Linked DNA regions of Medicago truncatula. Each later gene encodes a partner of the first gene's protein in a complex. Links are inferred from orthologs where the notes say so. Each region holds a gene or a part of one and is shown in the gene's direction. Other genes may lie near its edges.

Region 1 (7,828 bases):
CTTCGGTGCTCAATTTGCCTTAATGTTTATGACTTTAATAAATAATAACCACTACCTCTTGCTTCAAACTCCTCTTGCAGAAGTATATTTAAGTGTTTCTGATGAATTAAATCATGTTGTTGAATTGTTGTTCTAGTGTGAATGATAGTATGAATTTGGAAATCAAATATTTAATGAAATTTTTGTTGTTTTTTTTAATTAGAAAAAAAACATGTAATAGTATCATGTGAGACACAAGCTTTTAAGGCGGGTGTAAATTAGTTAAGTTTGCTAACTTGCACCTTATAAATATTTTAAAAATGAGTGTAAATAATTAAGTGGGTGTAGGTTGCTAACATGCATCTTAATAATTTTAGGTGGTGTAATTTGCTAATTTGCAGCTTAGTGTTTTTAGATGGGTGTAAGTTAACAACCCCATATATATATATATATATATATATATATATATTTGTTGTAACCTAATGGACAAGTAACATACAACTTATCTATTTGTTGTATGTGTTATTTGTATTAAAAATTAAGAGTATTTTTGGAAAGAAAAATCCAGCCAAGAAGTGTTTTTTTTTCTTTTTGTTGCAAAAACCCAAAAGTGCCGAAATGGTTAGTTTTCTTTATATATAGTATAAATATATAGTATAGATATAACTACGGAAGTAAATCCTTAAAAAAAAACTACGGAAGTAATATAACTACGGAAATTAAATGACCAACAAAAACACAATTTTTCCCCATCTAAATCTTTTTGACACCTCAACATATATTTACCCTTTTGTGTTTTTTTTTTTTAACAAAAATCCTATTTAAATGAGAGGGAAAATAACTTTCAAAAAATTTATGTGATTTGGCAACATAAAATTTCTTTTATATTGTTGTACCTAAACAATTTAAATTATCTATTACTACTATCTAATTATGAAATTTAATGTCTACCAAAAACACAATCTAGCTCCTTATTAATTTTTTGACACGTCATCAAAATTATATCATTTTGTGTCTTTTACTTCAACTTCCCCCTATTTTTTCTCTCTTAAAAACAAATTAAAATCTTTTATTAAAGAACAAACAAATTTTACTAAAATTTAACTTCTAAATATCTAAGGAGTTAAAAATAATTTAAAATATATTTTATTTTTCTCTAATTCTATTATCTAATTATGAAACTTAATGTCTACCAAAAATACAATCCTACCCCTCCCTAATTTTTTGACACGTTGTCAAAAGTATATCCTTTTGTATTTTTTCTTCAATCTCCCTCAATTTTTTCTATCTTAAAAACAAATTAAAACGAACTCGCTTGATAAAACACACTAACATAAGATTTTTTTTAAAGAACAAACAAACTTAATCTCAATCAAAACAAATTTTCATATAATTCAACTTCTAAATATCTAAAGAGTTAAAAATAATTTACAATCTATTTTTTTTTTTTTTTGGTCAAGTAGCCTAGTGGCTAGAGCTCACACAATTTAATTGTGGAGAAGTGGAGTGTCCGGGGTTCGAACCCCGGCTCCTGCATATAATATGCAATATCCCTACCAACTGAGCTAAACTCACGGGGATATTTACAATCTATTTTATCTTTCGCTAATTATGAAAGTTAATGACAAATAAAAACTCAATTTTGCCCCATCTTAATATTTTGACTCCTCAACATGTTTAGATCTTATTTAGTTTATGATGTTCATATGATTATTTTAGGATGTAATAGAACTACCTTCGTATCAGTTTTTCTTTTGTAGGTAATCCAATGAAAAAAAATGACAATTGTTTACATATTTAATCTAAAAAAATATTCACTTATCACAGGCATTAGATCTGACTCAGATATAGCCCAAAACAGGGATAGAACATAATAAATCAGACCGAGTAGATCAACCCTAATCTATCCTAAAAAAATTCACTAATCACGGGCTCAACCAAGCGAACCGGTATATGGATGTGAAACGAACTTACAAAAAAAGTATGAAAAGTGAACATCTGCGAAGAACAATTAATAGATCGACCTTTTTCAAACAAAATAATAATGGATCGACCGTTAGCATGATATCAAAATCCAAGTTCCAACAGATAGTTGAACAAATTAGCAAGCATAAAAACTCTTTCGAGTTTGAAGAACTAGAGTGTATGCAAACAAGACGCCTTGAAACCTGCAGATTTCAACATATTTAGAAACAACAGAGAATCAAAGAAGTCAGACCACCATGTCATATTATAAATAATATTTATATTGTTGTAGATTATTAATTATTATATCTTTCAGAAATATGACTATAAAAAACACAGTAAAAAAATGATAAATAAGTCTTTAAATAATATAGTTGTACAGTTCATACACGTGACTCATAACGACATCTTTATTAATAATGAAATCTTTATTATTTTTAATATTTTTATCATGTTTTTTTTATTATGTTTTTTCTTTATCAATAATGACACCACTTCATAATATTTAATAACAAAAATTTCAATGACTTTATCATGGGAAAATTAGTCTTAAAAAAAAGGGCTTATTACACCAACCTTCTTTAAGGTCTTCTTAAATAACACAAATATCCGCTCTATTTTATAACTAAACACTAATCTTCCTTATTTTTTTTTTTAACAAATTGACAAGCACTTCCCTTATAATATAAGGTTTAAATTGTCAATTCCATTTTTTTTAGCAATTAACTTCTTCATACGAGTTTGGTCTAACTTAATTTTTGACTATTTTTTTCTTCTATTTTTCATTTAGGTGATTTTTTTTCCAAATTATTGTTTCTCAGTCAAGGTTGTTTAATTTTCAAACTCTAATGTAATAAAACGAGTATATCGAAAATTATTTCCTTTTCATTGATCAACCACAATGTCCATCCACCAAAATTCTTCTCATTTCCATATTCTCTTTTGATCTCTTCTGTAATTGCCGATGTTTTGTTGTATTTGATGGTAAAAACAAATGTTGTTATTGTTTTTCTTTATTGTGAAAAAAAAACCTCATTTAACTTAATTGTCAAAAGAGAAAACAGATACAAAAAAATCAAAATGACCGACCTTAAATTGTATGTATACAAAGTTATTGAAATGGATAAAATGAGGGGAGATGATGCGTTTGAAAAATTAGAAGGGGCACTTGTGTTATAAAAAATAATCCCAAAGGAATTCAATGCAATCTGCCCTTTTATTATTACTGTGGACTTTATCAGCAGTTTTTTTTTTCTTCTTTCTCTTCTTATTTTCTCAACTTATATAACATTACAATGTGTTTTAATACATAACCCTCTACTTCTTATTAGCCCTGTACGGAACACGGGCCCGTGCTTAGCAAAGGTTTGTTGCTAGTTGACGACTAGAAAGCGGATGTTACAACCTACAAGGATTTGTGTTTCAACCCCTAAAAAAATATGAGGAATGCTAGGGTCATACCCTCTAACACACTCCTCTAACACACTCCACTCACAATTTGCCATGTCATCCAGTTTTTTAACACCTTGACTTGCAACCGGTTTCCACCATCCTTCATTATATTTATTACTTATTATTTATTATTATTTGGATTTAATTAAAAAATAGTAATTAAAGATTTTCATCTTCCTGCGCTTCAACCTCCCATCCAGAACAGACTCTTCAAGTTCAGGATTAAACAATGGAACCTAAAAACATCACCATAGAAAACATGATCCATACAAACAATTTTTTCACTTTGGATAAAATTCATGTTTCGAACTTCAATTTCCACAATCTTTTTTCATCAAATTTCAATCCCCACAATCTTTCTTCAATTCAAACATCAAAGCCCGAATCTTTCTAATTAAACTTCATAACAGGGTTCCCATTAAACAGGCCAGATTTGGGTATCTTTGTTTATAGGTTCAATACAAACCACAATCTCTCTCCCTCGTATCAGGTTATCGATCCAAAGTAAAAAAATTGTTTGTATGAATCCGATGCTTATAAAAATCATGAACAGAATACCCATGGCAGATCCACCTTTATAAGAATTGTAGAATTTTCCTCTGTAGAGAGCAAGGGAGTCTCGGAGAAGATGAAGTCAGAGTTTAAGTTAAAGAAAAAATAAAATAAAAAGCGTTGTTATTTCTCAACCTGTAGAACAGATTAACAAGTAAAAGAATAAAAAATGGAGGTGATGTGGCCTCATGTCATTGGAGGGTGTTAAAAGAGTGTGTCCTTAGCATTTCTCAAAAAATATTGGAGTTTCATGAAATATATGGTTCGGTTCAGTTAGTAAACCCATTTCATGAAAACTGTTTTTTTAGCAAAAATAAGTTTCGATTTTGGTCAGAACCGATTTAGACCTGATTTGTAAGAAAACTGGTTTTAATCCTAATTTCTTCCATCACCATTTCAATTCTTCAATGGATTATAAACATCAATACAATTCTCTTCTCCAATTCAATCAAAATTCAACAAAATAAGAATCAAACACTCTAAATCTCCCTAACCCTCTATTCAACATTTTCAATTTCCTCTCTCGTCCCACTCCATTTCTCTGCATTGACTTTCTCTGGAAGAAACTGAGAGTTACTCTAAAAGAAAAACTTTCCATAGGAAGCACAAAAGGATTAACATAACAATTCATAACCAACTGTTTTGAGTAAATTGAATTTGGACGAAAACCGGTTTTCATAAAAGGTAACCAGGGTTGTGGTTCTCTTAAAAAAAAAAACCAGTGTTGTGGGTATGGTTCATGTGAACCGGTTTTAACGCACACCACTTAAACTAGGATTTTTCTACAGTACGATAACTTCATACTTGTTTGGAGAGAAAGTTGAGCTAGGATCGTTATATCTTCTTTTCTCTCACATTCATTCACACTCACTCTAAAGTGAAAATGAAAATGCTATCCACACTCCAAACCCCACGTTCCACTCTCTCACGCTTCTCCCTTCCATCATCCACAATCACCACTCAAGCTATTCTCACACACCCCCAACCTACCACTGCACCCCCCTCTCAAATCCTCACCCTCCGCCACTCCCTTCTCACCAACACCCTCTCCGCCACCGACCTCATCCAATCCCACCTCACCCGCATCCGTCTCACCGAACCCCACCTCCGTTCCTTCCTCCACCTCCCTTCCGACCAATCCCTCCTCGATCAGGCACATGACCTCGACCGCAGAATCGCTGCGGGGGAGGAAGTTGGTCCTCTTGCTGGTGTTCTTGTTGCTGTTAAGGATAATATTTGTACGGCTGACATGCCGTCGACTGGTGGGTCGAGGATACTTGATGGTTATCGGCCGCCGTTTGATGCGACGGCGGTGAAGAGAGTTAAGGAGTTGGGTGGGATTGTTGTTGGGAAGACGAATATGGATGAGTTTGGTATGGGAAGTACCACTGAAGCTTCTGCATTTCAGGTTCTAACACTCTCTTTATATATTCTTTATATATATATGTTCAATTTCAAGTTGTTTTTTTTTTTTTTTTTTTTTTTTTTTTTTTTTTTTAAGTTTATTCATATACCTTATTTGAAACTTTTTACCATAATTTAAATTTTAAAGTGAATATTATTCTCAAGTTCTTTGACCGTGTTAATGTTAATCTGAGGTTAGTTTTTTTGTTTTGTTTGGCACACCTCAATTTAGGTCCTTGAAAGTATAACTTGCTGTCATATTGGTTTCTGAAGGTATCGATATTTCAAACACATCCACAAGAGCATTTTTTATTAGTCATTTTAGTCCTCAAATCTGTTTTTAGGTTGTCAATTTAATCTTTGAATGTGTTTTTCCTTGGTTAATTTTGTCCTTAAAATTACTGTTAAATTAGGTGCTAGGGATGTGTTTGCAATTTCAATAACTTTAGGGACTATAGTGTCAAATTATGAGTGTTTGAAAAAAGGTTCGTGACTCTGTTAAATTTTACTCATATTATATCTTCTGAGTATGTTAGTTAGGGACTAAATTGATAGTGAGTTGTTAAATGTAGGGAACAAATTGATAGTAAGTGGTGTTTCCTCATCCAACTTAGGCTCTGGTAGATTTCTGTACTCACATGTTGTTTCCTCATCCAACTTAGGCAAATAGAAGCTCCAAGCCAGTGTACTAGCTGCTGCACAGAAGTATATATAGGATAACATGTTGAATTCTTTAGCATAGTTTAGTGCTTCGACAGCAAAAGCATGAACCACCAAGGCCACAAGGGGAGTCCATAAAGCAAGAGTCTTCAATGCCTCATGTAAATATGGGAGAGAATTAGTAACTGTGAGCTGAATTTGGATTTCCAAGGCAGTCCTTGAGGTAGGTCATCAGGTTGAACCGGTGGAAGAAACATGTGGTTGATATTTGATGGAAGAGTTTGAAGGATGGGTTCTGAGGAACTTGGGGGAGAACCAAGTGTGCGAATGATACATGTGGCATGAATGTCTGGATGAAGATGGATAAGTAACTTTGAGAATTGAAGAATAGGGACTAAGTGTCCATACCCAACACCTGGAACAACTGCAATGTGAATTGTTTTATCCATGGAAATTTGATGCTAAGTTCATGAATGAAACTCATGCAGCCAAAAACTTGTATAGATTTTAAAGCCAATTTTGAAATAATGTATTTCGAATATGGGTTGAAAGTTTGGTTTTAAGATTTTTTGGTATAAACCAGTGTTTCTATATTTCACAACTTCCATTCATGTGCCATGTACTAACCTAAAACAATACATATTGAGAATGTCACCCTACAGTCAACATTACCTTACATTTAACCTAAAACAATACATATTGTTAGATACATTTAGGGCAATAACTAGATTTGAACTAACAGAAGCTTAAGCACATATAACGTACTTACTCCTGTAAGTTGTTAAAATATAGGGACCTAATTGATATTAAGTGGTCAGATAAAGGGCTCAATTTGAAAGTTTAATAGAGTCAATGATTTTTTCAAATATATATAATGTCAGGGACCTATTTGAGAGCGCCATACAAAGTCTGAGACTAGTTTGGTGGCTTATTAAATCCATTTCATTTTTTTTTGTTGCTTTGTGTTGTAGTGCATTTGTGTTTGTTTTTTTTTTATTCGGTAGTTGTTTGTTTGTTCTGTTGATTTTGAAGATCAACATGTTTTTGTTTTCCAGTTTGGGTGGGCATTTAAGCTGAATTACAATTTAGTTTGTATGCTACCCTTGTTTTTTGAACTTTTAGATATATATTTTATAATTGTTGATGATTTTAATATGAGAGATTTTTAGATACATTAGTGTGGGGTTAGTGTTGGTGAGGAATCATGATGTTTGATGATCCACTTGGCTGATGTCAGTCATGTTGAGCGGTGTGATAAAAGAATAGTGTCGTATGCTAGGTGCATCTAAGAACGTCCCCTCTCAAATTTCAAATGCCCAGTTTGTAATATTAGAAGTAAATGTGAGATGGTTTGAGTGGTGACATTATGTGGTTACTTGATTCAGTTATCTTGTGTTTAACAATTGAATTAAGTTTGTGAGCATGGGTTCCAGCATTTGTTTGGAGAGAAAATGAGAAGAATGAAAATTGAAAATCGGATGTCCTACAGTTGCTTTATGGGGCAGCAGCTATAGAGACCATTTTATTTAGATTTAGAGAGATTGCAGAGGATCTGAGTCAGGTGAAATTGTTGATGAATGACCTGATGGACCCATAATGTGATGCATTGCTAAATTTGTATTTTTGTCATTACAAAACATACAAATAGTGGGGCTGTGTTGTTTTTTCTCCGTCTGTGGGTGGGTTGGCTAAGCTTTGATAGAGTTCTGTTTGTAGCTTTATTACTTGTACGCCTATTTATAACTGAGATATGTTTACTCAGGTGATGCATATGTTCATTCAATAGGTGACTGCCAACCCGTGGGATGTTTCTAGG
Region 2 (7,569 bases), on another chromosome or scaffold:
TTCAGAAAATATGTATTCAGCCAGCATAATGTGCAGTTCTGGAGCTCCACTACCACTTGTTCCAAATTCAGCAGACCACCTGGATAAAATAGCAGCAAAGCCAGAAATATTGCTAAGAGGTACAAATAATTGCACATAAATACAAAAGCATGCAACTCACTTGTAAAAGGCTCCATACCACTTGAAAGAGACTTATTTAATTAAGTATCATTATATAATTCGTGTTATGAAGCATAAATACACAAAAGCACACTGTAATTCCAACAAAAGTTACAAAGCCTAAATTGAAATTCTACATGCTTGGAGATTCTATTCTAGAACACATGCTGTGTTATAGATATCAAAAGGATCTTTCTATAGCTTTTATGTGAACTGACTCTGTATTTTTTTTTATGAAGGGTCCGCTTAACAAGACAACCTTATGATTTTACAAAAATTATGTCAGCGATCTTTCTATAGCTTTTATGTGAACTGAACTCTATTTTTTTAAGGGTCGGCTTAACAAGACAACCTTATGATTTTATAAAAATTATGTCAGCCATATGTCTTGATAGCCATACAACACTCAACAAACGAGGGTGCAGTAAAAGCAAAGTATAATCTATTTTCACATTCACTTGCATGGAAAAGAGAGGGGATCAGTAAAAGTAAAGTATAATCTATAATATTTTAATTTTTGAGAAGTCTCACTTGATAGCAGCTTTTAAGAACGAGGAGCAGCCCTCAACACGTGTTTTTGCACTTCCAAGGTTTTCTGAAAGTTGCTGCATGTCATCAACATCCCAAAGGTGTTGTGGTAATGGAACCCGAGGAAACCCTTCATAGATTTTTTTTAGACGATCTGCCATTAAAATTTATTGTAGTTAGTAACAAGCATGAATGTTCTGTGACCAAATATTATATAATCTAAATAAGATTAGAAAAAATATATTACTGAAGAATAAATATAATAAAAGCAAATACATGTAAATCACCAAATTAAAAATCTCATGGGATTAAACTCATGAGTTAAAACAAAATATAATAAAAGCAAGTGTTCTAAACTGACCATAGGACAAAAAGAAAATAACTTACATTGCATCACAGGCTCAAAAAATAAACTACTGATAAATAATTGAAGGGTAAAAGAAAGGATAAGAACGCACCAAGAGTTCCATCATCATAAGGAATTTTCCCTTTTACTAATGTCTCCACAAACAATAAAGCAAGCTCTGCTCCACAGGTAACCTTAGATAAATAGAAGATAAAACTTAAACTTTTTTGTTTGTCAATTGTTAAAACTATTTGCATATATTCTTATCATAAAGTTAAAAATTAAAACTAAATGTAAATTTGGATAGAAATGTCAAAAGGATTCAGGATCCTCCATCTGTGCCTTTCCTTTCTCTCTTGATCACTTCTTCATTCATTTAGTTTTCCTAAAAGCAAGTAACTTTTAGCAGCCTATGTTTTCAGGTCACTTCTTCATTCATTTAGTTTTCCTAAAAGCAAGTAACTTTTAGCAGCCTATGTTTTCAGGTGTCCCAAAAATGTAGCAAATATCTTTGTCCATCCAAGTCATAAGGCAACAATGAAAAAGCTAATAATTTCTCATACGTGGCTAATAAAGATCATAAAGTTGATTAAAGTATATCTCAAAAGAAAACAAAATAGAAAGTAGTAGAACCTGCCCATGAGCCAATTGAATGCATGCTCCTGAATGTAGGATATCTAATGCTTCAGTGTACCTCTGAGCAGTTACATATCTGCAGAAAAACGTGTACGCACATCAGTTTCTACTCTCTGTAACTCAATTGATCAGTATGTATTAGTTGATTCAGTTGTCAACCAAAATAATAAAGCTTGACTTTAACAAGCACCCTCTAATTACACAACACTCCAATTATAAGCACCAAATAACGGCTCCTTCTACCATGCATAAATTGCATAGGTCTTGTACTGTGCAAGACCTTTTTAAACTCCTTGATAAAAAAAAGTAAAAAAACTCCACCAAAATTAATGATATACCCTCTATACCTATTAGAGATGTAACATTAGTTACATATTAGTTAGATTAGTTAGAAGTTAGTTGGTTTAATTAACTGTATACGCTTTAATGTACTACTTGATGCAACAATTCAATCATAAACAATATTATTTCCATTTCACTTTTCTATACTTTTCTCTCAATTATGAGTTCTATCAAGAATTGTAATATCTTTCCTCTCTCCCCTTTGGCACTGTTTCAATTTATCTCTTCCGCCGTTTCCTTCCTCCACCTCCACATCAAACCCTTCATCTTCTAATACATCACAGAAACAAAATTATGCTTTGGAAGGTGCTTATAAATTATAATTATGGGGTACAATTTGACTTGTCGTCTTGGTGTGATTTATAAGAAAGGAATTACAGAAACTCGATGTTTCGAAACTAAAATTACATGGTTATGGCATTTACATCTATTGACTATTCCGTAGTTTTTGTTTTATTTGCTTTACTTAAAACATCAATATCTTTCTCAGCAACATGCATAACTTTTTTTATTTCAATGAACATAACCAATTGTTTTGAATGTGACTGTGTTGAATTCTTTGCTGCTCAGTCATAGCAAATAGTTCAACTCAATTTTGGTAATTGTGAGTATTACCTGTGAACTAGATAATATAGATACGGTAGCGGGTGTCATTTCAATGATCATCAAGGGTTGACGTGAGTATTACATGTGGACAGTGAATCGTAAAGGGGGTAGGGGTGATGGCAGCAGATTGGATGAATGGTGGGTCTTTGGTTGGAGGTGTAGTAGCTCTGGTTCTGTGACAGTAGTAGATGGTCACGACGGTTTCTGGGTTTTGGAGCGAAGGGGTATGCTATAGATGATCTAATATAACTGTAGTGGGAATAATATAAATCTACAGTTAAAAAAGTGAAGCTTGGTGCACAACCTAAACACCTCATGCACCCTAGAATTTGCCCCAAATAACAACATACGATGTATAAACGGCGAAGAACCCTGCATTTTTCACGCCTCCAAAAACTCTAAACCGGTTTATAAGAAAATACTCCAAAGTCCTAACATTGTCCATAAGGAAATACCTCCTATAACTCAGCATTCACCAAAGTTTCCAAAAGTTTACACTACATGAAACTGCACTGTCCAGCTCAAAAAAGAACATAAATATTACAAAAATCTAGGGTATATCTATTCTCTACATCAAATCTTTAGCATTGATTCTGTACCTGTCCTTCTGACTCTGACTGACCACCAATACAAACTACTATTGTTCACATTTAACTAATCTGCCACCCCAAATTTGTGACTTTTTTCCTGAGTTAATCTAATAAACTATGTACATGCAGATGAAAGGAAATAACTACGGAAAACTTAATTATTTACAATTTTATAATTTTCACATTGAAGATAAAATGAAGAGTACATAATAAAAATTTATGTTGAAGAATAGAGCTGTACAGCACGGTAGGGTCAGTACCCTTGGATTCTCGGAGCGCCTTTGCCCTTCAGCCTTGACACTTGGGGGGCTGTGTACAGTATTGTGGGATTTTTTTTTAATGGTATATGTTAGTAGTTTGTTGTTAGATTCCTTCGTCTGGGTTTTAACCCACGACCTCGAACTCCATTAACCTTTAGCTCAAACCAGTTGAGCTACCCAACCCCCATAGTATCGTGGGATCTCCCCAAAGCACAGGAATCAGGTTTTTACGATCGACCAAAGGAGCCCAAGTGCTTACCGAGCGAGCACATCACGGCCCTCCGGATGTCTGCCCACATGACGGCACCCGCCAAAAGCTCTAGGAGGGAGCACTATAAAAGGAGGTCATAGTCCCTAGGGTAGGAATTCCATTCTTTCTTCAACGCACTTACACGAAAATCCTTTGGCACCACTCCCTCATTCTTTCTAGAACAAAAACACATAACATAAACTTGGTAAAAAGTAACAACAAGAAATTGTTCAAACCTGGCACTAATGGATTTATACATCTGTTGAGCTCCATAACAATTTCCATCTTTCACAACTTTCTCCAATTTTTCAACATTCTGCAATTCACACCATATTTAATCAAAAACCTCAACAACAACAACAATAACAGCAATAACAAAACCCAGAAATAAAAACAATAATGAAAACACATAAAGCATAACCCACAAAATTAATTTTCAATCAATGCACCAAAAACCACATCGAAAATAAATAAAAATCAATTTTTTAATTAAAAAGAGTAATTTTTTAACGAATGTGAATAAAGAAGAAACAAAATTAATGGATATTCGATTTTGGGTACCTCATCAGCGGGTGGAAGTTCGAATCTTTTGGATCTCTGCCGCGCCATGGTGATGAAATTTCTCTCCGTGGAGGATTTTGCAAAAGAGGGAAGAATAAAAGGGGAAAAGAAAAAAAGAAAATTATCTTATTTATAGAAGGACTTCTGTGAGAATTTTCAATTTCTTCGGGGACTAAATTGGAAATTTAAAAACATTGGCAATAAAAGCAACGATTTTTAGAGTTTTGTTGAGATTGAGATTGAGAGGGATAAGGATTTTGTAGAATTTAAGGAAGATGAGTAGCAAAGTGTTGTTACTCAGAGGAACACCATTATCGTTATCATTGTCGAATTCGAAAATCCAACACAAGTTGTTACAGTTTCGTAGGTTGTCTTCAAAAACAAATTGTTCCTCTCTAGAACCTCCAAATGTGTCTCATTTGGCAAAAACAGCTCACATCTCTCTTACCCCAACTGAGGTTTTTTTTTTCTTTCAAATTAGAAATATTCTTTTTTAAAATTTCTAATAGTAATAATGATTTATGTTATTTCAGGTTGAAGAATTTGGTCCTAAAATTCAGCAGGTGATAGGCTGGTAAGTAAAATAAAAACTCTTATTTTATTTGGCTATTTTTATAGTAATTTGATAGGATAATTGAGGAACAATTGAATCACAAAGATGTACCAACACTGGATTCTCAGTGTTAGCCCACCACCTGTTTGTTAAAATACCCCTTCCACCCACCTTTTATTCCAACACCATTTTCTGCATTATGGTAAGATTCATACATCCATAATTGAACTAGAATAAGTAACAATGATTTATGTGGATAATACTTTAATTACCCTTTACTCTATGTTGAAGCCTAATGTTTGCCTTAGTTACGTGGGACAGTATGGCCACAATGTGAAGTGGATATTGTTGGGGTATACGGTGGAGTCTGCTACAGGGATTTTAGAGGTCTCAAAGGGTTATTCTAGTCTTAGAAAAGTTGAAACGAGGGAATGTTATTGTTTTTGCAAACATGTTTATGCACTGACCATTGTTTCAACATAATTCAATCTTTTACGGGGGTTATTGGAAGAAATTCGACAACCTTGAGGTAGATAGTGATGTCATTCATGTTGTTTGGGTCCAATGTTTGTTAGCATGGATGTTTCATTAATGGAAAACAAACTAAATTGAAAGTGTATTTTGTACGACGTTGGATATCGTGTTGCGTTTTGTTTGTCGAAATATGACAGCTCGTGAGGCTTAACATTTTGTTTCTAAAGGTACCAAAACTTCAAATTTAGATTGACTTGTCTGTCAGGTTTGGACAACTGCAGGGTGTTGATCTCCAAAGCGTTGAGCCCTCCATAAGAGCAGGTGCTCTCAAAACCAATATTCTAATTTCCATTTATTAATCATTTCATATCCTTGTTTTGGATTTTCTCTAATGTTTGTTTGCATACATTTTCATGTGAGCAAACCTTAACTTTTGAAATACAAAAGAAAAAGTTATGTTATGTTTCCATGGAGATGGTTTCTTATGTTGTTAAATTCTGTTGTATGTTAGTTGTTCATGGTTTGGTTCAGGTAGAAGTAGAAAACCAAACGAAACTGAACCAGAAAAGTATGAACTGAACTAATTATATATTATTTATTAACTCAACGTGATTGTGTCAGAACTTGAAACATCCTTTGTTTAGCATGTGGCAATTTCGGTAGCTTTTTCATCATTGAAATAAAAAATGGACAAGACCTTTCAACCATATGATTTTTCTAGTGACTAAGATGAAAATAAAATAGGCAAAAGATGAAAATAAAAAAAACAGTCTTCAAGATATACAATATATAGTTTATTAACTCATACACGTTGGTGTAGCTTATTAAATTATGAACAAAACAAACTATAAACAATTAACTTGCATTTACGATTCATTCATTCTGAACAAATAACTAAAACTAAAGAACAGTGCAGTCAAAAATCTGAAAACTATGTTGTTTATGGGTTTTTCATTTTTTGCCATGTTTGAGGCACCACAGGTTTGTGAAATTACAGATTTAGAATTTATTGTTCTTATAAATTATGATGTTTTTATTTAGGTTTCAGATGTTTCTTAGAGTGGAAATGATAAGAATTGACCTTTGTAGCATGTCAGTAATTCAGCAATCTAAGATTGTTTTATCTAGGATATAAGCTTTAGACCATATGTGAAAGCATAACTGAGAGTCTAGTTCACAAATTGTCAATCACTGCTCGATTTGTGAACTATGGTGCAAATTGTTCTTTCTGGTGCAGTTTGGTTAGCGAACTGTGTTTAAAATACCAGTTCAGTCTGTGCTGAACTGTACAAAATGGTTCAGTTTTTATAGCGCAAATTCGGTTTAGTTCAGTAGTTCGGTTCAGATCTTGGGGTTTTAACAGCCCTGGTTATGAGTCGGTAGGCTGTAGCCTTCATTCATGAACTGAAAACACATGGTTTGTATCTATTTTGTATTCACAGAGAAATGTCGGTGCTATTGCTGTCTTACACAAATAGGAAATCAATACTTTATTAAATGTTCCATATTATTTGCTTTCTTCTCATTGCTTTCCTATACTTCACTTGGTCGTGCAAGTTTGTTTGAATATATTTTATATTTTATACAGTGGAGCATTTTGGTTTTTTTTTTTTTTTTGACAAAGGAGCAAATTTTCTAGGGTGCTCGAATTTCCACTTTATTTTATCATAAACAAAATGAAGAGGGTAGATGAGTATCATGCCCTACAATAAGTTTCCATCATTTAATATATTAAGTGATTCTCTCTTGACATGCCTCTGCACCTGATTTTAATTCCTTTAACGTTTTTTAAATGAGTGGTAGAAAACATTTGTTGCTTGTTGGCTTGGCTTTATGTGTTTAGTTTCTAATTTTTTTAATGTTATCTGCAGATACTGAAAACAATTTGCGTGACAATACTCCTGAAACATTTGATCAACGGTGAGTTGTTTATTCATTATTTGTAAATTGGGCATATTGCATAGCCGACTGACGGTGCCTGATAGATTGCTATATCCTTGACAGGGATGCCATCCTCGCTTCCATTCCAACCTATGAGGAGCCCTACATTAAAGTTCCAAAAGTCCTAAATGTGGACTAGAGTTTCTTATTTGAGTTATTTTGCTTAAAAGAAACTCATGAAGACTATTGCCTTGTACCTTGAATTTCTTGGTTTTTTATATGAAACCATCTCTTATTTTGAATTTTCATGATGGAAATCGTCATGGACACTGTACTTAGACAAACTTTGAAATCTTCATCATCATAATTTGACAATTATTTAA

Evidence for each region. Proteins that work in one complex are often made in the same cells at the same time.
Region 2: glutamyl-tRNA(Gln) amidotransferase subunit A, chloroplastic/mitochondrial (region 1) and glutamyl-tRNA(Gln) amidotransferase subunit C, chloroplastic/mitochondrial share a complex: the UniProt entries of both Arabidopsis thaliana proteins name them as parts of the heterotrimeric GatCAB amidotransferase (AdT) complex. The link is inferred for Medicago truncatula from reciprocal best matches to the Arabidopsis thaliana genes AT3G25660 and AT4G32915.

Annotation. Positions count from the first base shown.
Region 1 is NC_053044.1:22,450,567-22,458,394, reverse strand, and holds the start of glutamyl-tRNA(Gln) amidotransferase subunit A, chloroplastic/mitochondrial, read left to right. Parts: upstream 1-4,755; 5' UTR 4,756-4,831; coding exon 4,832-5,356; intron 5,357-7,798; coding exon 7,799-7,828. UniProt on the Arabidopsis thaliana protein: Allows the formation of correctly charged Gln-tRNA(Gln) through the transamidation of misacylated Glu-tRNA(Gln) in chloroplasts and mitochondria. The reaction takes place in the presence of glutamine and ATP through an activated gamma-phospho-Glu-tRNA(Gln).
Region 2 is NC_053042.1:46,835,731-46,843,299, forward strand, and holds the start of glutamyl-tRNA(Gln) amidotransferase subunit C, chloroplastic/mitochondrial, read left to right. Parts: upstream 1-4,518; 5' UTR 4,519-4,553; coding exon 4,554-4,736; intron 4,737-4,811; coding exon 4,812-4,852; intron 4,853-5,570; coding exon 5,571-5,626; intron 5,627-7,176; coding exon 7,177-7,225; intron 7,226-7,309; coding exon 7,310-7,385; 3' UTR 7,386-7,569. Other genes in the region: protein GET4, read right to left, coding at 1-79, 691-841, 1,146-1,227, 1,667-1,745, 3,954-4,033, 4,279-4,326. UniProt on the Arabidopsis thaliana protein: Allows the formation of correctly charged Gln-tRNA(Gln) through the transamidation of misacylated Glu-tRNA(Gln) in chloroplasts and mitochondria. The reaction takes place in the presence of glutamine and ATP through an activated gamma-phospho-Glu-tRNA(Gln).